Linked DNA regions of Mus musculus. The protein of the gene in region 1 purifies or fractionates together with the protein of each later gene. This does not show direct contact. Links are inferred from orthologs where the notes say so. Each region holds a gene or a part of one and is shown in the gene's direction. Other genes may lie near its edges.

The links.
Region 2: the proteins of Sod1 (region 1) and Prdx2 fractionate together in Homo sapiens (co-fractionation; 3 studies listed by BioGRID, with this or other methods). This does not show direct contact. The link is inferred for Mus musculus from reciprocal best matches to the Homo sapiens genes SOD1 and PRDX2.
Region 3: the proteins of Sod1 (region 1) and Tkt purify together in Homo sapiens (affinity purification with mass spectrometry; 3 studies listed by BioGRID, with this or other methods). This does not show direct contact. The link is inferred for Mus musculus from reciprocal best matches to the Homo sapiens genes SOD1 and TKT.
Region 4: the proteins of Sod1 (region 1) and Tpi1 purify together in Homo sapiens (affinity purification with mass spectrometry; 3 studies listed by BioGRID, with this or other methods). This does not show direct contact. The link is inferred for Mus musculus from reciprocal best matches to the Homo sapiens genes SOD1 and TPI1.
Region 5: the proteins of Sod1 (region 1) and Hspe1 purify together in Homo sapiens (affinity purification with mass spectrometry; 3 studies listed by BioGRID, with this or other methods). This does not show direct contact. The link is inferred for Mus musculus from reciprocal best matches to the Homo sapiens genes SOD1 and HSPE1.
Region 6: the proteins of Sod1 (region 1) and Hexb purify together in Homo sapiens (affinity purification with mass spectrometry; 3 studies listed by BioGRID and IntAct, with this or other methods). This does not show direct contact. The link is inferred for Mus musculus from reciprocal best matches to the Homo sapiens genes SOD1 and HEXB.

Annotation. Positions count from the first base shown.
Region 1 is NC_000082.6:90,219,323-90,223,561, forward strand, and holds the start of Sod1 (superoxide dismutase [Cu-Zn]), read left to right. Parts: upstream 1-1,439; 5' UTR 1,440-1,535; coding exon 1,536-1,607; intron 1,608-3,457; coding exon 3,458-3,554; intron 3,555-4,239. UniProt on the Homo sapiens protein: Destroys radicals which are normally produced within the cells and which are toxic to biological systems.
Region 2 is NC_000074.6:84,968,493-84,972,421, forward strand, and holds the start of Prdx2 (peroxiredoxin-2), read left to right. Parts: upstream 1-1,129; 5' UTR 1,130-1,270; intron 1,271-1,659; exon of another isoform or gene 1,660-1,747; 5' UTR 1,748-1,749; coding exon 1,750-1,852; intron 1,853-1,943; coding exon 1,944-2,097; intron 2,098-2,794; coding exon 2,795-2,917; intron 2,918-3,069; coding exon 3,070-3,200; intron 3,201-3,929.
Region 3 is NC_000080.6:30,559,131-30,562,630, forward strand, and holds part of Tkt (transketolase), read left to right. Parts: intron 1-621; coding exon 622-735; intron 736-1,456; coding exon 1,457-1,554; intron 1,555-3,500. UniProt on the Homo sapiens protein: Catalyzes the transfer of a two-carbon ketol group from a ketose donor to an aldose acceptor, via a covalent intermediate with the cofactor thiamine pyrophosphate.
Region 4 is NC_000072.6:124,811,359-124,815,559, reverse strand, and holds the start of Tpi1 (triosephosphate isomerase), read left to right. Parts: upstream 1-1,401; 5' UTR 1,402-1,437; coding exon 1,438-1,552; intron 1,553-2,646; coding exon 2,647-2,770; intron 2,771-2,854; coding exon 2,855-2,939; intron 2,940-3,023; coding exon 3,024-3,156; intron 3,157-3,592; coding exon 3,593-3,678; intron 3,679-3,955; coding exon 3,956-4,043; intron 4,044-4,172; coding exon 4,173-4,201. UniProt on the Homo sapiens protein: Triosephosphate isomerase is an extremely efficient metabolic enzyme that catalyzes the interconversion between dihydroxyacetone phosphate (DHAP) and D-glyceraldehyde-3-phosphate (G3P) in glycolysis and gluconeogenesis.
Region 5 is NC_000067.6:55,086,815-55,090,947, forward strand, and holds the start of Hspe1 (10 kDa heat shock protein, mitochondrial), read left to right. Parts: upstream 1-1,333; 5' UTR 1,334-1,595; coding exon 1,596-1,598; intron 1,599-2,236; coding exon 2,237-2,401; intron 2,402-3,898; coding exon 3,899-3,988; intron 3,989-4,133. Other genes in the region: Hspd1 (60 kDa heat shock protein, mitochondrial), read right to left, coding at 1-125. UniProt on the Homo sapiens protein: Co-chaperonin implicated in mitochondrial protein import and macromolecular assembly. Together with Hsp60, facilitates the correct folding of imported proteins.
Region 6 is NC_000079.6:97,175,831-97,178,594, reverse strand, and holds the end of Hexb (beta-hexosaminidase subunit beta precursor), read left to right. Parts: exon of another isoform or gene 1-540; coding exon 541-715; exon of another isoform or gene 716-1,448; coding exon 1,449-1,539; exon of another isoform or gene 1,540-1,693; coding exon 1,694-1,798; exon of another isoform or gene 1,799-2,005; coding exon 2,006-2,066; 3' UTR 2,067-2,264; downstream 2,265-2,764. UniProt on the Homo sapiens protein: Hydrolyzes the non-reducing end N-acetyl-D-hexosamine and/or sulfated N-acetyl-D-hexosamine of glycoconjugates, such as the oligosaccharide moieties from proteins and neutral glycolipids, or from certain mucopolysaccharides.

The DNA of each region.
Region 1 (4,239 bases):
GGCAGGAGGATCTTAAATTCAAGTTTAGTCCCTATCTCAAAAATTAAAAAAGAACCCCTCTAACCCCAGCAACTGAGAGGCAGAGGCCAGGGAGATCTCTGTGAGTTCAAGGTCAGCCTGTCTGTTCTACACAATGAGTTCCATGAGAGCCAAAGGTACACAGTGTGATATTTTTAAAAAGGTATGTGTGTCTTTTTTTTTTTCAAATTTTTATTATTTTCTTCATTTACATTTCAAATGCTATCTGGGGAGTCCCCTATACCACGCCCCCCTGCTCCCCTCCCCACCCACTCCCACTTCTTGGCCCTGGCATTCCACTGTACTGAGGCATATAAATTTGCAAGACCAAGGGCCTCTCCTCCCAGTGATTGTCGAGTTGGCCATCTTCTGCTACATATGCAGCTAGAAACACGAGCTCCGGAGGTACTGGGTAGTTCATATTGTTGTTCCACCTATAGGGTTGTAGACCCCTTCAGCTCCTTGGGTACTTTCTCTAGCTCCTCCATTAGGGGCCCTGTGTTCCATCCAATAGATGACTGTGAACATCCACTTCTGTATTTGCCAGGCACTGGCAAAGCCTTACACGAGACAGCTATATCAGGGTCCTTTCAGCAAAATCTTGCTGGCATACGCAATAGTGTCTGCATTTGGTGGCTGATTATGGCACGGATCTCCAGGTGGGGCAGTCTCTGGATGGTCCATCCTTTTGTCTCAGCTCCAAACTGTGTCTCTGTAACTCCGTCCATGGGTATTTTGTTCGTTATTTTAAGGAGGAATGAAGTATCCACACGTTGGTCTTCCTTCCTCTTGATTTTCTTGTGTTTTGCGTGTGTGTGTGTGTGTGTGTGTGTGTGTGTGTGTCTTAACTGGCAGAGCACTTGTCTGTCATGCAGGGGGCGGGGTGGGGGGTGGGGACTGTCTAATCTCCAGCTCTAGTAACAAAAATAAAAGAAGTAAAAAATAAGTAAGAAACGGGGGTGTGTCTAGAGATAGAACATGGGCTTTACACATTTTAGACATCATGAGAAAATAAAGCTGGAAATGACACTGGGCATCCATCTTGGCGCATCTCAACTTTCACACTGCAACCGAGGCGCGCTGTGCAAAGTCAGTGACAATCCGCATTTCCAGACACAGTGGGTTCAGACCTTCCAGGCGCGCACGCGGGCCTCGTGTTCTCGGTTTCCGCGGCGACTCGGCCGACGTCACAGTTAGAAGACAATAGCGACTTTCCCCGCTCAGGCTCCTCGGGAACTTTCTCAGTCCGCACGCTCCAGGAGCCGGAGCTACCCTCCGCCCCGCCCCCAGCGTGCCCCGCGGCCAGGGAGCTCCACGAAGGGCGGGCGGAGGCCGCGGGTAGCGATTGGTTCCGTGCCAAGGTGGGCGTGGTCAGACTCAGGCCTATAAAAGCTCCGTGGCGCCAGGGCCTCGTTTTTTTGCGCGGTCCTTTCCTGCGGCGCCTTCCGTCCGTCGGCTTCTCGTCTTGCTCTCTCTGGTCCCTCCGGAGGAGGCCGCCGCGCGTCTCCCGGGGAAGCATGGCGATGAAAGCGGTGTGCGTGCTGAAGGGCGACGGTCCGGTGCAGGGAACCATCCACTTCGAGCAGAAGGCAAGGCCCGGGGCGCGGGGCGCAGGCCGCGGTGACGCGGCGCACCTGTGCGGGAGCACGCCACGCCCCCGCCACGGCCTGAGCCCGCTAAGTGCTGAGTCACCGTGGCCTGGGGCAGGGGCTGGGCGCCGGGAAGCGAGGCCCGGGGCGCCGCGGGGCCTTCCGGGCGGGCGGGGGCCTCCCCGCGCCCCGGAGCGGCTGGGCCTGCCCGGGAGAGCCGGCTTGGCATCCGTTATCCTTCTGGGGCTGCTGCTTTTCCGGTGTCCGTGTCCCACAGGCTCAGAGCCCCGTGGCCACCGGCTGCGATTGTTGTAAGAATATTTGAACCCGGTGGTGCCAGACCGGACTAAGGCCGCAGGACGCGTTTGCGGCACTTTAAAGCAAAGTCCTGGGCTGTTCTGTACTAGGTCAGGGTCGTGTCGCAAGGCGGAAAGAAAGAGATGGCCTTGGACAGCCGTCCCTTGCTTTGCACTCCAGAGAGAGACCCGGCTGTGGGTTTTTTCTACCACAGCGAGTTTCTGAGCACATTTTGGAAAAGTACATAGAGATATTTTCGAAAATACTGTGACCCTGCAAAAACACATGCGTCACAGGGAAGATGTGTGTGGTAAGGTTGTGTCCAGAGCCTTAGGGAGGTTACCGTTGTTGTATTCACCTTAATCCCGAGAGAATATTTGATAAATGAGCGTTATGTGCTCTCTGAAGTGGTGGACATACGTGTGAGAAGGCAGACACCATAGTGAATCCCAAGTGTTTGGTTTACGACGAGAACTGATAACGGCAATTTAGAGTTTTTCGTAACTAGCCTCGTTTCCAGCAGTTTCTTGGCATTGAAATGCGTTTTGTTGTTTTCCTGTGGAAGTTTTTTGTTTTTGTCTTTTTCTCCTCCCCACGTAATTCACTGTGAGAAAGACGAAGTTCGGCTGGGTCTTACCCCTGTGTGTGGGTTTCTGTCATCTTCCACCATGCCATGCCAGAGCAGCTCGCACTATTTTTGTGACGCTGCAAACTACACATCGCTGGTGCCCTTTGTACCCAATGAAACGATAGTTAAGCATTCCAGATTGGCAGTTGTAATCAAAGCTGGTTGATTTAACCTGTTGCCAACTTTTCAGAATCAGATTTTTCTACCCAAAGTTCATATTCCCTTATTCTGTTGCAAAAGTTGGACATTTAAAAAAAAAAAAACCTAAAAAATGATTGTCCTTGCTTGTTGGTCGGTTGCTCTTACATTTTCTCCCTATTGCTACACTTTCTGGAGCAGTACTAATTTGAATTTTGGGTGTTCTTTTCTTTTTTGTTAAGTGGCAAATTTTCTAGATTTGGATAGCTAATGAGATTTTTTTTTTAAGGTAGCTCTGGTTAGACCCAAATGGATCTCCACAGGCAGTAGGACAAAGGCATTTTCTGACCACTAAATAAAAATAGGGGAACTGATAAAATCACTGAATGTGGAGAACAGGGTTCTCGGCAGCCAGTGTTCTGTAAGAGTCAAGTCTGACAGTGCAGTAGCCATCTCTTCCCCAGGCCTGGCATTCAGTAGCCCCTGTTTGTTCCACCTGGTGCTTTCTAAATGCTGTTCAGTCCAGGTGCCTGCACACATGGCATCTGGCAGCAAGTGTTAGGAGAAGTGTGACAGGGAGAGAGAGGCCTAGAGCTGAGCGTCTCCAGAGCCACCCTGTAGGAAGTGGGTCTACTTGGATCTGAACATAGGTTTGATTTTCACTGTTGTGTGTTTTGACTTGAGCTTTTTACTGTGCTTGGTTAGGGTGTAACCCAGCAACAGCCCTGGTGCAGGAGTATTTACACTCAAACTTGATGTCTTCATTTTTGTATTTTTTTAAATCAAGGCAAGCGGTGAACCAGTTGTGTTGTCAGGACAAATTACAGGATTAACTGAAGGCCAGCATGGGTTCCACGTCCATCAGTATGGGGACAATACACAAGGTAGGTCCTAGGCTGGCTAGTGACCAGTGATGGAAAGGAACTGAGTCAGGACCCAATTACTAACCATTTAAAACTATCTCGTTTGTTTTCTTTTTCTTTTAGATAAAGTTAAAATGACCACTTAGGTCAACCTTGGAAAGTAGCCACAAAAGTATTTTATTTAGTATCAAGTATTGCTTGCTTCCTTAAGTGTGGGAAGGTAAAGAAGGTGATTTTTCTTCATTGTAATTATAATTAAGCAGCACCTTGCTTATTCTGGGTGTTTATTGGGTGCTTATTTGGGTGTTTGGAGCTGGGCGTTGAGGATGGATGCATTAGGCAGAGTGTCTAAGGACAACCATGCCTTAGCATGAGAGGCATAGCGGGACAGAAGTGACAAAAACTGAAGATTCAATATAAATGCTTAAGTAAGATTTATTTTCTCTATTTGGGATTAGAATCAAGTCAGTAAAAAGTAGTGGCTTAAATTGCAGTTAGTGAACTTTTACCATATTGGAGTAATGATCTGAATTTGCTTACCGTCATTTAAGAGCCTCATCCATGTTGCGAGAGCCTTTTCCTTTCCTCTCCTTCTCCCCTGCCTTCTTCCCTTCTCCACATAGCCCACGGTGGCCTGGAATTTAGTCTTGTGTGTGCTGTGTTAAAGGCATGTACCATCAACCTGTGTGCTATGTGCCATAATTTG
Region 2 (3,929 bases), on another chromosome or scaffold:
CAAGCTGGCCTCCAAGTCCTTGGGTAGCCAAAGATGTCTTTGAATTTCAGGTCCCTACTCCTCCCAAATGCTAGGATTGTAGGTGTGTACGGGTACAGTGGATTATGCAGCGCTGGGGAAGGATCAAAACTTCGGACATGCTGGGCCAGTGCTCCACCAACTGAGTACCAAATGCAATCCCAACCCTTCATCAGAATTCTTCACTGATACTTCCTCATGTAGATGAACTCACAAAGGCTGGTGCCCCACACCCTTCCTCAGCAGATCTTTGCCAAATGGCATCCCCTTTCCCTATTCTTCCCTTAGGCCTTTTGCTGTTCCCTTTTCACTGTCTCACAGTCCCTGTGACTTTAACTGTGCTAGTCATTCCAGCTGTGTTGGTTCTTACCACCTCAAGCTGACTGGCCAGTTTCTTTCTCTGCCTCCACCCTTCTAGCACTATGTTAATAGGTTGTTTATTAGACAGGCAGTGTTTAATATAATTATCAGATGACCAAGGAAGCTGCGGGGCAAGAAGTTGAGAACAAAAGGTAGTACGGTTGGGGCATGGCTGTAAATTTTCAATAAAGTGAAACGGAACAAAATAAAACAAAACAATAACTCACAGACGAGAAATCACACTCAGAGAAAAAGTGCCCAGTTCCTTGAGACCCAGCCTGCACTGAGCTGGGCAGGGATCTGAAGTCAGCCAGAGAGGGTCTGTTTGTAGGGCCTTGGCCAAGTGAGGCCTTCGGGGGTTGGGGTGGGGAGGACACCTTTTCATAGCGTAACTCCCGTCCACCTGCTAGTTTACCCTTTTGTCGCTGCAGCGTCAGCAGCTCCCAGGTATCACCTTCACCGTGCGGGCCAAAGTATTGGTAGTCTGGGTCGATCTGAGTAGGGGACACCAGACCTAGGAGCACTAGGGGAGTCAGCAACGGAGCCAAGTGGCTCCGGGCCATGCCCGGATTCCAACCGACCCCAACGCGCCCCGTGGCCGAGGCTCGCGAGGAGCCCACAGCACAGACAATCTTGGCGTCCGAAAGGGCACACCCCACCCAACCCTTGTGAAAGCGTGTGGACCGGGCCACGCGGCGCCTTCCCCTCACCCCCCCGGCAGCCGCAATGGATCCGACCGCGGCGCTGTCCCGCCCACCTCCCCGCGCACTGCCTGGTGTGGTTTGGGCCACGCATAAAAGGTTCTCCGGCCTAGGGCTCTCTCGGTTTTGAGATCTCTTTCCTGTCTCTACCCGTGTCTGGACGTCCGTGTGTCCGGCTCTTGCTCACGCAGGTATGAAAACCCAGAATGCACACGAATGGGAGGAGCCCCACTAGTGTGGTGCAGGCCTCATCACGACCTCTATGCTTGGAGGTCTTTGTTTTCCATGTTCAATGGTGGCCGCTTTGTCCTTGCCCGGGAAACCAAGGCCCGAGCCCTGGCTTGCAGGCTGGATCACCGAGCTCGGCAGTCCATCGCTCTTAGCTTAGCCGTCCTATTCTGGAACTAGGAGCTCACTTCCCCCTCCACCCGCACTCGGTCTGACTCCATAATTTGGGTAGCAGCGGTGACCCATCATTCGTTCCCTGTTTAGGGGGGCGGGTATTCAGAGGCCTTGCAGACTTTATACTGGGAGGGTGAATATGAGCGCTCCTTCCACCTCTCTCGGTTTTACTATCTAGACTTAGCACCAAAAGTGACCTTGGAAAGGCAAGACAAAGGATCTTCTAAGGCTCTAAAGACCAAGCTTGTGTGGGTCTCTGATTTCAGTCATGGCCTCCGGCAACGCGCAAATCGGAAAGTCGGCTCCTGACTTCACGGCCACAGCGGTGGTGGATGGTGCCTTCAAGGAAATCAAGCTTTCGGACTACAGAGGTGAGGCTGAGCGGAGTGGGAGCAGGTGGGGTCAGGGTCTACATGTGAAAGAAGTTAGCACTGACTTCCCTTCCGTTCTCCTCTTCCCTAGGGAAGTACGTGGTCCTCTTTTTCTACCCACTGGACTTCACTTTTGTTTGCCCCACGGAGATCATCGCTTTTAGCGACCATGCTGAGGACTTCCGAAAGCTAGGCTGCGAGGTGCTGGGAGTGTCTGTGGACTCTCAGTTCACCCACCTGGCGTGGTAAGGGGCTGCAGGAGGAGGGTTGCAGGGGTCTTGAGGTAGGTGGTGAAGTGGGAGGTGCAGAGAGGATGAAGGACCGCCCAAATTATAGGGACAAACTGTGTCTTCCCGTTTTTCATCTTATAAAGAATGGAAACAATGACACCCAAGCCCACACGAAGATGATAGTAATTAGCATTTGGCACCTTGTTGGAAGGTACCTGCCAAAGGAGTCTCAGTTCTCTGGAGACAGGCTGCCTTGCTGTATTTTGCTATTCTCAATAATGATGGGTTGTGCTCCATACCAGAGCTAGATGGTGATGGGAAGAATCCCCCTGTGTGCGCGCACACACAAGTCTTTCAGAACTAGAAGTCAATAATTCCAGGGCTCATTCTTGCAAGGCAAGTGCCCTGCCTCTGAGCTCCATGTCTGCTGTTGGCTAATCACTTTCATACGGGGTCTCTACTGCAAGTTGCTGGAGCCCACGGGCACAAGTGAAGCCATTTGAAGAGGATGCTTTATCTGGAGCCATTCTCCTCCCAGCTGCACTGCCATCCCACTGGGTGGGGTGGGTGGAGCACCCCGGCCTTGCTTTAAGTCCTTTATCTCCTGTCTCCAGCACTCCCACTCCAGCCCTTATCACTCTGGAGGCCCATGGGGGAGACTTCTACTATCCTGGGCATCCTAAGGCACCAACCATGTCTCTCTCACCTTCAGGATCAATACCCCACGGAAGGAGGGAGGCTTGGGCCCCCTGAATATCCCTCTGCTTGCTGACGTGACTAAAAGCTTGTCCCAGAATTACGGCGTGTTGAAAAATGATGAGGGCATTGCTTACAGGTACAGCAGGGACCTCAGCCCAGCTCCAGGAGCCCCCTCCTCAAAGCTAAAGGGACCACTGTGTCTGGTGGGGGTGTGTGTGGGAGTGTCCCCTTCCTGTTCTGGCAGCAGGTGGTCTCCCAGATCCTCACTGTGGGCCCTCATGTCTTCAGGGGTCTCTTTATCATCGATGCCAAGGGTGTCCTTCGCCAGATCACAGTCAATGACCTACCTGTGGGACGCTCTGTAGACGAGGCTCTCCGCCTAGTCCAGGCCTTTCAGTATACAGACGAGCATGGGGAAGGTGAGTATTCACAAATGGAAAGGCTGCCTCAGCTCTGCCCAGCATGAATGAATTGTCTGCTCCAGCATCTTTGTGGGATAAACATTAAAGTCCCATGCCAGGGCTGAAGAGATGGCTCAGCAGGTAAAAGCACTGGCTGCTCTTTCCGAGGACCGGGGCTGGATTCTTAGCATCTACATGGTGGCTCATAATCATCTATAATTCCAGTCTCGGGGAATCTGATGCTCTCTCCTGACCTCTTCCTGCACCAGGCGTGCACATGGTACACAGATAAACATGTATACAAGATGAACTGGAGAGTTGGCTCAGTGGTTAAGGGCACTTGTTCTTGCAAAAGAGCAAATTCTAGCCCTATCACCCAAGTCTATGCTCACCACATCCTGGGGTACCAAGCACACTCGGTGCACAGACACATAAAATAAAAAAAATAATAATAAAAGACAGGATCTTGGGCTGGCGAGATGGCTCAGAGGGTAAGAGCACTGACTGTTCTTCTAAAGGTCCTGAGTTCAAATCCCAGCAACCATATGGTAGCTCACAACCATCCGTAATGAGATCTGACACCCTCTTTTGGGGTGTCTGAAGACAGCTACAGTGTACTTATCTACTAATAATAAATAAACCTTAAAAAAAGAAACAGAAACCCAGGATCTTATGTCCTGATGGTAGAAGTGGTAGAATGAATAGGATATGGCATGGTGGCACACACCTTCAAAAGCAAAATATACA
Region 3 (3,500 bases), on another chromosome or scaffold:
CCTTCTTATCTTCTGCCTGAATCCTGTTGTGCTAGCATCCTGGGGACCAAGGCTTGCTCTCCTTATGAGTGACACTCCACTGCAGTTTGGGAGTACAGATACCCTGCCTTTCCTCTTCTAGTAAAAATCACAGCCACAGACCATACCACAATTGCCCCCAAATCCACCTGTCCTCTGGCCTGGCTCGACAGCCTCTCGCTTCCCAGGGCAGGCTGTAGGGCTTAAAACTCCGTCCAAGTATGTTCCATGCCAGAAACGAGGATTAGGGTGGCTGCTGCCTGCTGGAGTGCTGGACTCCCGCGGCTGCACAGCTGTGACCCTGCACCTGTCTGACATGGCGTCTACCCACTTTTGACTGTGGGAACTTTGGGCTGGAAACCAAGAATCTGGAGAGGAATGAAAGGGGAGAAGCCTTCTCTTCTCTGGCTTCCTCATCTGAAATGGATATCCTGGTTGGCCTGCTCGGCCAGACCCCAAGCTCCACGCGTGGTGGGAATGATCCCAGCAGCTCTGCCCATGCGCTGTAGGAATGAACCCAGCGGCCCTGCCCATGCGCTGTAGGAATGATCCCAGCGGCTCTGCCCGTGACCGCCTCCTTGTGCATCCTCCCCACCCCCACAGGGCCATGCAGCTCCCATTTTATATGCAGTCTGGGCTGAAGCTGGCTTCCTACCCGAGGCCGAGCTGCTGAACCTGAGGAAGATCAGCTCTGACTTGGACGGGCATCCTGTCCCGGTAAGTCCCCTGACGGGCAGCCTCCTGGACCCCGGCCTCATCTTCCTGTCCTAGGCGCAAGGGAGAGGAATGAGGCAGGGGAGCCAACTATGATGAGGAGGGAAAGTGAGGGATGGGAGCACGTTGTGTGCTCCCCAGCACGGGGCAAGTTCTTGTACTGACCAAGGATGAACCCCGAGCTTCCCTTACCCCCCCCTCCCCCCACGAGCCCCTGAGCCATGAGTAGGTACTATCACTCAAGAAGAGAGGTCCCTAGAGAGACTTAAAGAGGTGGTACCGTGGGTACAGAGGCACCTAGGCAATGAAGCCGTTTGTACCAAATTGCTCCCAGCACGTGCTGGCACATCGCTGGCACACTGCGATGTCGGTGTTCACTAAGGCCGGATGCTCTCTATCATCTATTATATTTTCTCTATCGCTGACCTCTAGCTTCTGTATGTGGTAAGCTGTGCTTATACACAAGGCCATTAAAGTTCAGAGAGGTTTAGTTTCCAGCCTGACGTCACATAGTTCACTAGGGGACAGGGTTTGGAACTGAACCCACTCCCATAGTGGTTTTGCTGTCTGAATAAGAAGGGCCTTCTTCTGCGGAGAGGGATGCACTCACTGGCTCTGGGTGCGGATGCTGCCCTGACTGACATGGTGGGGGAGGGGAATGTAAGTTGGAAACAAACAGCTCTTTACTGGACCCTTGAATAACTCCGGATCTCTCTTGTGACAGAAACAAGCCTTCACCGATGTGGCCACTGGCTCCCTGGGCCAGGGCCTGGGAGCTGCTTGCGGGATGGCATACACAGGCAAATACTTTGACAAAGCCAGGTAACCCCCGCTCCCTACTTGGTAACGTTGAGAGGGGGGCCTCAGTGGCTCAGGCTGAGCCGGCCCACATTGCCCCCTGGCTGCTCTTCTTGCCTGACTGGGGCTAAGTAAGATAAATACGTTCCGTCTTCTGCTCTCAAAGCCCCGAAGCTGGTGATACAGGCAGCACCTTTTCAGATGAGAGACTTACAGGACAGAGGGAGCCACCCCAGAGTCTGGCTTCCAGGCCAGGTTTGCTCTGAGTACATGAGCTACCACACAGACTCAGTCCAGTGCCTGGACCCTGGCAGTAGCAGAGGAGCCTGCCTCCCACCCCCATGTCTGACTGGCACCAAGAAGCTTGGCCTGGACTCCTTGCCCTTGCATTTGAAGAGGATCAAATTGTGTTCCAGAGGTCTCCGGGGTCCTTGGGTCACCTCCCATTGGCGGGTAAAGAGACTGCAGTGTGTGGGTACAGCCTGGTAGGTAGGTTTAGCTATTCCAGCTAAACCTGGTGGCGGTTTGTAGAACTCCCAGTGCCCTCAGGACAGATTTCAGCCATGTGATCTGCCGTGGACAGGTTGTGTCTCGGAAGCACAGTGTACAGGCTGCTAGGCGTAGCCACTGGTCAGAACAGTACCTCCGGGCCACCATGTGGGAGCGAGGCTGAGTGCTAATTTTCAGCTCGATAATTTTCATCCCTGTGAATGGGAGAGGCGTGAGGATGAAGTAACTAGGGAGAATTCTCACCTAGATCCTCCGGTCTTGCTCGGAGTGTCCAGAAGGCACACCCATAGTCCCCAGGTACCCTGTGGGCAAAGAGCTTCCGAGGAAAACTGGAGGGGACTGGCCCATAGCCAGGGACATCCCACTTCCCTGAAGGCCAACGCCACAGAAGAGTGGCCACAGCCAGGTCCCTCTGAGGACAGGCAGCTGCACGAAGCTTGACTGCTCTCCCTACACACTGGAGAGTACCTACTGTTCGCAGGAAGTTCTTTGCGGGGACAGGGGGGGCTTCAAAGTTAGTCTCTGGGAGAGCCCCAATCCTTCCAGTACCCAGCCTCCAGTCCAGGGTCACTGGGATGACAGCTATTGAGCTTTAGGGCTGGCGTAGCCGCACCCAGAAGTGATTCACTCTGAGGTGATGTGTCTCAGAGAATGAGGTGCATGTTTAAGAACATTTTATCTGGCCTAGAACCATAGATGTGAGTTAATTATTCCCTACAGTTGCTTGAAATAATTCCCCGTGAAGGATCATTTTCTGACCTCAACATAATAGAACAAGCCAGTGTAGAGAGAAGGGCTTTAGTTCCCAGAGGCTGTGTTGGCGTAGAGCCAGGCTTGGCTGAGACCTGGGCCCTCAGACAGTACCCAGAGGGTGGGGGGGACTCAGATCGCTTAGGGCACCAAGAGATTATCAGGCCCAGCCAGGCACCCAGCGGTAGCACCCCGATAGAGCTGCGTGGGCTACTGCCGTGGTATCCCTGTAAGGTCTTTTAAAAGTTTTGTTTTTAAGATCATTTATTCATCAATGATAATTTTTTTAAAAAAATTTCTCAGTGTTTTCAAATTCCTAGTATGTTACTCTTTGAAATTCAAGGACAATAAAACATTGTTCCAGGGTTTTCAAAACTACAATACTTTACACACACGTCTAATAGTCTTTGTGACCTATCATTTGCATAGCTAAAATTCTTATTTACAAGGATAAAATACTCTAAGTTTAGTAGCACTTCCAAAAAGACCTGCATCCTAGAGAGCTGTTCAATGAAAAACATAATTTAAAATTCAGATCTCCCAGAAGACAACAGCCCCTCATGGAATGACATGTTGATATTGCCAGTTCAGCACTGAGCAGTCATGAGAGAGAGAGAGAGAGAGAGAGAGGGAGAGAGAGAGAGAGAGAGAGAGAGAGCATGCATATACCTTAGCTCTTCATTTTATTATTTATCTATATTTTGCTAAGT
Region 4 (4,201 bases), on another chromosome or scaffold:
GCCCTCAGCCCTTCCACTTGAAGCAGGGGACAGACCATCTGGCATGAGGGACGGCTGAGGGATGGACTTCAGCCCCTGCTCTGTACCCTTTTTGTTTTTGTCCCCAGCAGTGGGAAGGAGCTGGAGGTCATAGGAGAATGGCCAAACAAAGAGGAGGGGTACTCATTAGACTCTGGGGACAGAGCAGGGATGGGACAGGAGGGGCCAACTGCCTGTCCACAGTGGGACCTTGTTGCTTCCTTCCCCTGCCCCTTGAATCCACAGTGCTCTGCTTCTCTGTGATGGCCCAACCCCTGATGTGGGGCGGGCTCTTACCTGTGTGTGTGTGTGGATGTGGCTTTATGCATCTTTCCAGGGGAGGGAGCGACTGCGCCTCCCCTCCCCTTAAGTGTTTGCTCCCTTGTGGTGGGGCAGAGGAGGCTCTGAGGGAAATAGGACCCTCCCCACACCCTTTGCCCTTCTGCCTCAGCCTCCGGTCTGTCTTTATGGTCCTCTGGAAAAATGCCAAAATACATGATGTGAATAAAAGTACGGGGGCTGACTGGTTTCAGTTCTTTGGGGGAGACTTACTAGTTCTGGGGAGGATTACTGGAAGGGGAAGGTTTAGAGAGGCCCAACTGGGGTCCTTTGCCGTCCCCCCCCCCCAGGCAATTTCCTTTTCTCTAGCTCTAGAAATGCTCAGAAAACTGAGGTGGGGGGATGGGAAATAAAGGGAAAATTCAGAAGCGAGGCTGCATCACCCCCCCCCCCCCAACTGACCATGCACTTGGTCTAGCCCCACTGTTGCTGGGCAAATGAAGGACCTAGGGCAGGGTGGGCAGTCCACACTGACTGATATCAGCTGACTCCTTTACACGGCTGCAGCCAGCCTGCCTCCCTCCCTGCCCCCCACACACTAGTGTCCCACTCTGCTCCATTTGGCCAAGGTCTGACAACTGCAAGGACCCCGTAATCACCAGCGACGTTGGTGACACACTTGGCCCCCTTCCTTGTGATTACTGGAAGGGCTCCTCAACCGTGACTTTGCTTTATGCTATGAGGGAATGGGGCGCTTTCGGAGTTGGAAAGGTGCCCTCAACCCCAGGGTCCAAGGCCCTGCTGCTGTCACCTCCACAGGAAATGCCCCTTGGTCTTCTGAAATCCCAAAAAGTTTGTTTCCCTGAGCGCGAGGTTCAACATCTCAACTGTCGAGCCACTGAGGCAGGACGTTTGAGCCCCCTGAACCCTCTAGAACATTGATTGCTCTAGAACGCCAGAACGTCGAAACACCGGGAGGTGGAGAGGCAGATGGAGGGGAAGGCGGAGCAGCAAGGGGCCGGGCTAACCATGGCGGAGGGCGGGGAGAAGGAGGAGTTCTGCTTCACAGCCATCTATATAAGTGGCCAGTGGAGAGAGCCGTGCGTTTGTACTGACCTTCAGAGACTTGAGCCTGGTACAATGGCGCCTACCAGGAAGTTCTTCGTTGGGGGCAACTGGAAGATGAACGGGAGGAAGAAGTGCCTGGGAGAACTCATCTGCACCCTGAACGCAGCCAACGTGCCGGCAGGCACCGGTGAGCTCTCTGTTTAGCAGGGGCGGCGGGACGTGGGGGTGGAGGGTCGGGCGTGGCACCACCTGCTCAGTGTCTGAGTGGACCTGGATGGTGGCCTGGGGACAAGAGCCATTTGGTGTCCCGGCAGCAGAGACTTGCTGAAGAGGAAAAGCATTTAAATGCTGCACTGGGTTTGTGGGGCCCGAAAGGGGTTCTTGGGGTTGGGGGCAGGGTGCAAAGAAGATCGCCCTTGGGAGTGGACCGGAGCTGCACCAGTTAGGGGTTAGGGTCGAGAAGAAGAACCAGTGTCGGGTTGGATAAGCAAGTGGCACGTGTCCCCCAGATTGTGAGGGAGGAAGCTGAGCTTGCGCGGGCTCTCAGCTACCTGCCCCCTCGGCCTCTGGCTCCGTGCGTCTCTGCACGTAGCCCGAAACTCCTCCCCGCGCCGTCGTATGCTTAGGCCTCTGAGCTGGGGGCTTCCACATCCCTATCCTTCACAGCATGGGCCACTCCTGCCTTCCACCTTAGGCCCCTAGCAGATGCCAAACATGCTGAGCCGTTGGGGAATTAAAAAAAAAAAAAATTCAGCTCTTCTCAGACTGGAAATAGGAAAACACAAGGTCTCTGTGGGCTAGTCAGTTCCCTGCTGCTCACGACACTACCCCTCCATCCTTCCCGCTTCTACCCACCTAAATCGGGGAACCTGGAGAATGGCCAAAGGGTATTCTCTCTGATCATCCATTTCCCGAAGAGCCCAATACAAACTCCCGCGGTGGACCTCTTATGCTAAAAAATCCTTCCCGGGATGGGTATGTGGGATGGGCTATTTTAGAAAGGGGTTACCCCTGGAGAATGCTGAGTCGAGGAGATGCCCATTCCCAGAATAGCCTGAGGAAATTAGAGCCACAGCTGTTAAAAGAGCAGAGGGCAGGGTAAGGGCCGTGGCCTATCAGAGGCATTGGGAAGGCTCTGGTATTGCTACAGGCCTAGCCTGGGCTCTGTAGTGGACAAAGGTCAACTTTCTGGACTGAAAAACGAAGGAAAGTAGAACCAAGAAAGTGAATGCAAGACCGGGAGCCTGAAGAGTGAGGGGCTTTCTCTGATCTCGTCCTCAGAGGTGGTTTGTGCACCGCCCACCGCTTACATCGACTTTGCCAGACAGAAGCTGGATCCCAAAATTGCTGTGGCCGCACAGAACTGCTACAAAGTGACCAATGGGGCCTTCACTGGGGAAATCAGGTGAGATGGAGGCAGAGAGGGATGTAGAGGGAAAACCTTCCTCGTGAGGGCTTCTTGCCGAACTTTGGTGTGTGTTTGTTTTAGCCCTGGCATGATCAAAGACTTAGGAGCCACCTGGGTCGTGCTGGGGCACTCAGAAAGAAGACATGTCTTTGGAGAATCAGATGAGGTCAGTAAACAGGAGGGGAGATAGGGGATGCTTTGATCCTGGGGGAGAGGGTATCTTACCTACCTAGCATTTGTTCTTCAACAGCTGATTGGCCAGAAAGTGAGCCACGCCCTAGCAGAGGGACTCGGGGTGATCGCCTGCATCGGGGAGAAGCTAGACGAAAGGGAAGCCGGCATCACCGAGAAGGTCGTGTTCGAGCAAACCAAGGTCATCGCAGGTATCTCTGCAGACACGGCTCTCTGAGTCTAGCAAAGGCCACAGGGATGGAGGCGGGAGGTCAAAGGTCCCACAGCCTGCCTGAGTCATACTGACCCCGGGGAAAGAGGGCGACCTGAATGGTTCTTGTCACTGTTCCTACAGAAGGCTCAAACCCCACCTTCAAAAGCTAGCAGGGTCTGTGGGTAAAGCCTGAGGCCCTGAGTTTGAGTCCTCCAAAGACAGCCACGTGGTAGGAAAGATCCAGCTTCTACAAGTTGTCCTCTGCCCTCATATGTGTGCTATAGCTTGTACACACGCACGCGCACACACGCACGCACAAGTTGTTTCTAAAAGGGGGAAGGAGAAGCCCACCAGGGGCTGTAGGCCATAACTGTTATAACAGGAGAGCTTGGCGGGTCAGCTCCTTCCTACTCACTCTCCTCTCTGCCCCACAGATAATGTGAAAGACTGGAGCAAGGTGGTCCTGGCCTATGAACCTGTGTGGGCCATTGGGACTGGCAAGACGGCAACCCCTCAGCAGGTAACTACCCAGAGCTCCTCAGCCTGTCCGGCTTTAACAGACTCACACAGCTATGGAGCCCATCCAAGCCCCTTTAGAGACAGAGGGCCCCCAAACTCACCAAGGAGAGTGACTTTGCCAAAAATGTTCATTCCAAGCCTGGTGGGATTGGAGCCTTGCCACTCTCTGGTCCCGGGGCTTTTCTGGAAACTCAACTCTATGTGAGAACCAGTGGTTTTTACTCCTTGAATGATAGATAGGAAGGAGCTTACTTAGTAGCTCTGCCTCCTCCTTCTAGGCACAGGAAGTACACGAGAAGCTCCGGGGATGGCTGAAATCCAATGTCAATGATGGGGTGGCTCAGAGCACCCGGATCATTTATGGAGGTGAGTGGCTTTGGCTCTAGCTAAGACGGAAATGGGCTAAGACAGACTGAGGCTGCCTTGCACAGAGAGGTGGGGCTTAAGTGTTCTGATCATAGACCTGACCAAACTGTCTTCTTGTTCCTGGTACAGGTTCTGTGACTGGAGCAACCTGCAAAGAG
Region 5 (4,133 bases), on another chromosome or scaffold:
TGAAGCATTAAGGCTCGAGCGTCCGCACCAAATTTTACATCTTTGGCATAGGCCCGAGTGAGATGAGGAGCCAGTGCCCGGGACACTGGTCTCATCTGGCGAAGGACTGTGGGTAGTCGAAGCATTTCTGGGGAAGGAAAAAAGAAAAATCACTACAAACTTGTCCAACGGTGCTTCAAAACATGGGAGGCTAGATTGGAGCTGGGCTGTCCTCTGCTAACCACCATGCCTGGGCGCTGCAGATTCAGGGCATAATCTGCTAGCCAACTGATCATGGAGGCTGACCCCAAGCCTGACCAACAGCATAAGCACAAAGCACAGAAAACCACATCCCCATGGCCACCCACTCTGCCCTCTCAAGTTAATCTTTCACTGCCAAAGCGGCCTTGGGAGCAGATCCACTCCGAAAAGTGTCCAAAGGAAAAAAATCAAGTTGGTGCAAGCAAGGCAGGTTCTAAATGCAATTGCCTAGAGAACTACAGAAGTACTCATGACGGTGCAAAACCCTCTGAGTGTGTCGCCAGGTATCCACCCGAAGCTACGGTAACACAGCAGCTAGCAAGGCCGGAGGAAAAGACAGTAGGTCAGTCCAGCCTCGCGGCCCCACGTGTCTTCCCGACCAGGAGCCCCGAGCAAGGTCAAAGTGAACACCGGACCGCCGCGGCCACCGGGGACTAAAGGACCCCGACCACCCTCCCACAGAGTCCTGCAGTGCGCCAGGCGCAGGTGGCACCAGAGGGCCCAAGTTGCTTCCACCCTAGCCCGCCCTTGCTCCGGCGCTCGGCCTGGATCGCGTGGTCCCCGCCACACGTGATGAAACCAGCGTGGCCCCGCTGGGCCTGGACAAGTGAGCCGAGCCTGCGGCGTCGCTGCCAGACTTCTCCCCCTAGTCCTCCGTGCTCGGTCCGCGCTGCAAGCAGCCCCCCGCGAGCGCCGGGGCGCCCTGCACGCCGAGGCCGCGTACCTGCGGGGCGGCGGCAGGAGAGCACGAGGCGAGGCAGGCCGTCTGCGGCGAGTGAGGGACCCAGCTCTGGGCGCGCACCGCAATGAGCCCGAGTCCCCTCCCTCCCCGCCCCGCCCCGCGGCCCCGCGTGTGCGCGCGCGCGCCCCCCGCTCTCTCCCACGCCGGGGCCCTGCAATCTGCATGCGGCGCGCGCGGCCCCGCCCTCCGTACCAGAGCCGCCTCAGCTCTGCGGCCTCAGCCCTCTCCCGCCGCCCTACGCTGGTTCCTGGGCCACGGTCCGTTCTAGAACCTTCCGGAAGGCCCCGCGCGTCCCGTGGGTGAAAGGTCAAGTGGCGTCATTTCCGGGAGGGGGGCTCGTTCTTTCACCTCGGCGGCCGGCCTGGAAAAGCCTAGAAAGTGCTCCCCTTTTCTTCCGCCTCCGGCCGCCCGCGTCGGCCCCCTTGCGCGGAGCCCTCGCCACCAATCGGCGCGCGCGTCGGCGTGGCCGCCCCCTCTCACGCTCGGGGGGCTGAGTGCGCCTGCGCGCTGCGCGGCCTTTTCACGTGTCCCAGCCGGCCAGCAGGACTCTCCTTGCAGCAGCGGCCCGAGTTCAGAGTCCGGAGCTGCGGTGGTGGCGGCGAAGGCGAGAGTCATGGTGAGTGTCTCGTGGTTGGCAGGCCTGCGGGTCCAGTTCGGCCTGCGGCCCACGGCGAACCCTTGTGCGCTTTGGGACTAATAGGACAGGGGTCCGGGGTCTGGTCAGTGTCCGGTGTCCGCCCATGGCTCTGCAGAAGCGAGGCCATTTCTCTCTCCACCATGGCTTTGCCGCACGCACGTGTGCGACAAAGCGTCTGGGGCAGGGGGCGGGAACCCGATGCACACGCAGAAGCCCACCTGCCCTGGCAGGGCTTCAGTGGATGTGTCCTATGTTGGAGAAAGACTAAGATCCAGGCTCGAAAAGTGACGCCACTCCCCCGTTATTCGAATTTTTAAAAAAATTAAAGAAATGTTTGACCTTGGAATAGATCAAGGTGGCGATTGCTGATTAGTAATGAAGACCCCCCCCCACCACCACCACCACACACACACACACACCAGACAGGGAAATGAAACTCAGTTTGTCCTATATAGAGTGGAACACTGAGTATATTCTAAAAGTACACTTGAATTTTCTTGTCCTTTTTGGAACAGGTCAGTTTTGACCTGTTGAGAGTTAAGGCTTGCGGTGGTCTTAACTGTTCGTGTTCTGACACTTCGAACTTACACTCTGTTTGATCACATTTCTCTCCACAGGCTGGACAAGCTTTTAGGAAGTTTCTTCCGCTCTTTGACAGAGTATTGGTTGAAAGGAGTGCTGCCGAAACTGTAACCAAAGGTGGCATTATGCTTCCAGAAAAGTCTCAAGGAAAAGTGTTGCAAGCAACGGTCGTGGCTGTGGGGTCAGGAGGGAAAGGAAAGGTAAACTGGTGCCCCTGGAGTGGTACTGAATTCCAGTGTGATGTGGAAGGAGGGGAATTCCTTTGGTAATTAAAAAAATGAATTACAATGGCATTTTTGGGGGGAAGAATTTCAAGTCAAATTTCAATTCACAAAGAACCTCCCATTCAGGAAAATGACTGTTTTATATTGTTTTAGAATTATTTTATGTTTCTGAAGAAAGGCAAAAGGTATTTGTGTGACGTGTTTGCACATGTCTATATGCTGTGTAGCAGGGGCATCTCCACCTTACTCCTTTGGGGTAAAGTGTTGACTAGTCTGGTTTCTGGGCCTCAACATGTTGCGGGTTACAGCCTTTTTACTCTAGTTTTAGGATCCTGGTTTGGGCTCCCCTACTTTCATAGCAAGTCTACTTACCTGTTTACCCACTGAGCTAACTCTGCAGTGCCCCAAGCTCTAGAGGCTGAAAAGTGCCTGCCTTGATGGTGGCTCATGCCTGTGGCCCAGGTTCTTTGGAGCCTAAGGCAGGTGGACTGTAGAATCTTTTTAGGCCAGCAGGAGGTACAGGATGAGACCATGTCCCAAAAAAGTAAAACAAAATCTTACAATATGAAATAACCTCTGTAGCTATTTTATATCCTGTTCTTCAAATTTTAAATAGACAAAAAGATCGCGCAAGTAGATAAACCCCCACGGCCATTTCAGAGCTGAAGGAGGTATTTATTAATAAGGCACAGAACTAATTCTAAGCACAGGTTGGGAGAAGGGTATAGTGCTGAGGTAGAAGGATCCGGAATTGATGGCCTGTCAATTTTGATATAGACCCTGTCTCCCTCTCCCTTCCCCAAAAAGAAAGGGTGAAGTGGCAGGGGTGGGGGAGCCCAGACACTGAAATAGTTTTAATCTTACACCATTGAGTTTTAGTTGGCATGAGACTTGAGAAGGGAGGTGGAACTACTGTGGGTGTTCTTTACTTAACTAAATCGCGAGAGTATTAGGGGGAGTAGACATTCCACTTCAGTCTCTTGATAGATAACAAGGGCATTCAGTCAGTAAATGTATATTAAACGGAGAAAGGTAATGCCGAATTTTTGTTGAAAGGAATCATACATGATCATTTACCGTCTGGTGGTACAAGCTGCTTTATTTTACTTGGTCTACAGGGTGTGTTAATATTTAACAGTAGAAAGTTAGCCAGCCTTAGTTGTCCACTGAAATGAAGTTTTAGTGAGTGTCTCCTTCATATTGTAACTATGCAATTCTTATATTGTAGGGATCTATATTTAATGTAAATTATATTGCTTAACCACTAATTAGGTACCTAAGAACATACTGGTTTGGGCACATTTCATTAATTTAGTGATTTAAAAGTTACAGAGTTTAATGTGACTGGTTAATGCCTATAATACAAACCTGAGGCAGGAGGCCCCTGGTGTGCATACTGAAACAAAAAGTTCACTGTGTGTCTAATGAACAAGACAAGCAGACTCTTGGCTAACAAGTGACTGTTTTCATCAGAGTGGAGAGATTGAGCCTGTCAGTGTGAAAGTTGGAGATAAAGTTCTTCTCCCAGAATATGGAGGCACCAAAGTAGTTCTAGATGACAAGGTAAGTCAAGCTAAGAATTTTTATTTTATCTATTTTTTTTTTAATTTCGGGGGAGGGGGTGGTTCAAGACTGGGTTTCTCTGTGTAGCCTTGGCTGTCCTGGAACTCACTCTGTAAACCAGGCTGGCCCCGAACTCAGAAATCCA
Region 6 (2,764 bases), on another chromosome or scaffold:
GGACTGGAGAGATGGCTCAGTGGTTTAAGAACACTGATTGTTCTTCCAGAGGTCCTGAGTTCATATCCCAGCAACCACATGGTGACTCACAACCATCTGTAATGAGATCTGATGCCCTCTTCTAAAGTGCAGGCTTACACGCAGGCAGAATGCTATATACACAATAAATAGGTAAATCAATATATACTTTTAAGAAGTATTTTTTTCTGACAAAATTATTTCTTACAAGCCCAGCTGCCACTGTTACCTTTCTAGGGGGCTGGTGACGTCTCATGGTTCAAGGTTAAGTAGAATATTGCTGTGGTAGAAATAGATTTGAGGTGCAAATCTTACCCATCTCTGAAATATTAGCTATAGTCAAAAGTTAAATATCCAACTTTAAAGGTTAATGTGAATAGCACATGGCACTGATCAAGAAAAAAAGGATGTATGATTTCTCTAAGATCTTAGAAATTTATGTTTACCAATCATGAGCCCATGAACCTGTAAGATTGTATTTACTGGACCTAATTCTGTGATTGCAATCCGTACCTCTAACAGCTTCAGCCGGGCACAGTAGTCGAAGTGTGGAAGAGTGAGCATTATTCATATGAGCTAAAGCAAGTCACAGGCTCTGGCTTCCCTGCCATCCTTTCTGCTCCTTGGTACTTAGACCTGATCAGCTATGGGCAAGACTGGAAAAACTACTACAAAGTTGAGCCCCTTAATTTTGAAGGTAAGCAAAGCAAGCGTCATGTAACTCCCACTCCTGAATCTAATCTGGATACTTCTCCACTGTCCACTGTCCTGAGGGCGACAACGTGTAGCCTGAAGGAAATACATAGCAGGCCCTTAGATTCTGCCCCTGTTTTCATGGAGTTGCTCTTTGTATCTGAGATGTCTAAGTGCGTTAATTTTGAAAGACACCTACGTTGCACGTAACTCCTAAGTGAGGCTTTTGGTCCCTTTACTAGCAATTCTATTTTATATAGTTTTTGTATTTCAGTCTTTAGAAAATGATTATATGATTAAAAGTTTCAAAAATATTGATCCACTAGAAACTATGACTTTCTCTAGAAAGCATTTTCAGGATCAAAAAATAAATAAATAAATATAAATATATTTTTATAAATACATATTTATAAAAAAATAGTTCTTAAATACTCTTTCTTGTTTTGTTATGAAATACCAAGGAATAAGTATAGTGGTAAACCCATTGAAATGAAGCTTGTATTTTCTCAAACACCACTAATAGGAAATGCAGGGAGGGGTTGAATGTGGGGGACCCTAGGAGAAGCACCTGCGCCCCAGGCTCACCACAATCCTCTATTATGTGGAAGAGCACTGAGCCAGGGTGGGAGTAAAGGCTCTGCTGCCTACAGGAGGGTACAGAGCAGTGATGTAGGATGACTCTGGAAAGGAAACCAGGGTTGTACAGCTTAATCTCTCTCTTAACCACCGTCATGCAGGCTCTGAGAAGCAGAAACAACTTGTTATTGGTGGAGAAGCTTGCCTGTGGGGAGAATTTGTGGATGCAACTAACCTTACTCCAAGATTATGGTAAGGAATTAAAGTGGGGCCAGCTGGCTTGAAGGATGCCTTGGCTTTTATTCTCCATGTAAGCAGGAGAGAGCTCCTAATCTCCTTATGCAGTTGACTTAAGGAAAAAAAAAAAGTCTAGACTGCTTTGGAAACTGCATATTTTAAAATTCAGGCCTCGAGCAAGCGCTGTTGGTGAGAGACTCTGGAGCCCTAAAACTGTCACTGACCTAGAAAATGCCTACAAACGACTGGCCGTGCACCGCTGCAGAATGGTCAGGTGAGACACTTCCTTCCTGATCTAGGATCTCTTCCATTCACTGTCACTAGCCCATGGAAGATATATTTCAATATAACTGCCATCTTAAGGGAGTTAATAGCTTAAATTAGAATATTAAAACATTGCAAAGGTGGGGGAGGATTTGCTAAGGTGCCATGAGACAGGAGGCCACCATCTAAAATATCTCTCTGTGTTGTCTGTCTACAGCCGTGGAATAGCTGCACAACCTCTCTATACTGGATACTGTAACTATGAGAATAAAATATAGAAGTGACAGACGTCTACAGCATTCCAGCTATGATCATGTTGATTCTGAAATCATGTAAATTAAGATTTGTTAGGCTGTTTTTTTTTTAAATAAACCATCTTTTTATTGATTGAATCTTTCTATCCCTGAATCAAACACTGAATCTTTTATGTGAGCAGCTTAAGAAAATAAAAGGAAAAGCCTTGCACTAGCACTCCAGAGGGCTGCCCTGTGTGGATACTGTCATCTTGCAATGGTTTAAAAGAGAGATGTCAGGCTAGAAAGAAGGCTGAGGTATTTAAGATCACTCTTGCAGAGGACCCGAGCTCAGGCCCTGGATCTCCGTAATCACACCACAATTCCAGCTCCAGGGGGATGGAACATCTCAAAAGTAAAACAAGAAATGTCTAAACGAGGTCCGCTCCTCACAGGCCCAGGCTTCTGGACTCTGCTCCCGGGGGTGGTGCTGTTTGGGGAGGCTTAGGCAGTGTATCTTGGCTTCAGGAAGTTCATCACTAGGTGGACTTTGAGAGCTCATTGCCTTGCTTCCTGCTGAGAAAAGAAACCTTTTTTTTTTCCTAAGCTGCCCTGGCCAGGTTATTTTATCCCAGCACCAGAGATGGCAGAGATAACCGGGGCCCAGCTGTGGTGCAATATAGCAAAGTACACCCAACAGAATTAGAATGGCAGCTCCAAGGGTCTTGTCAAGTTCTTTCCAC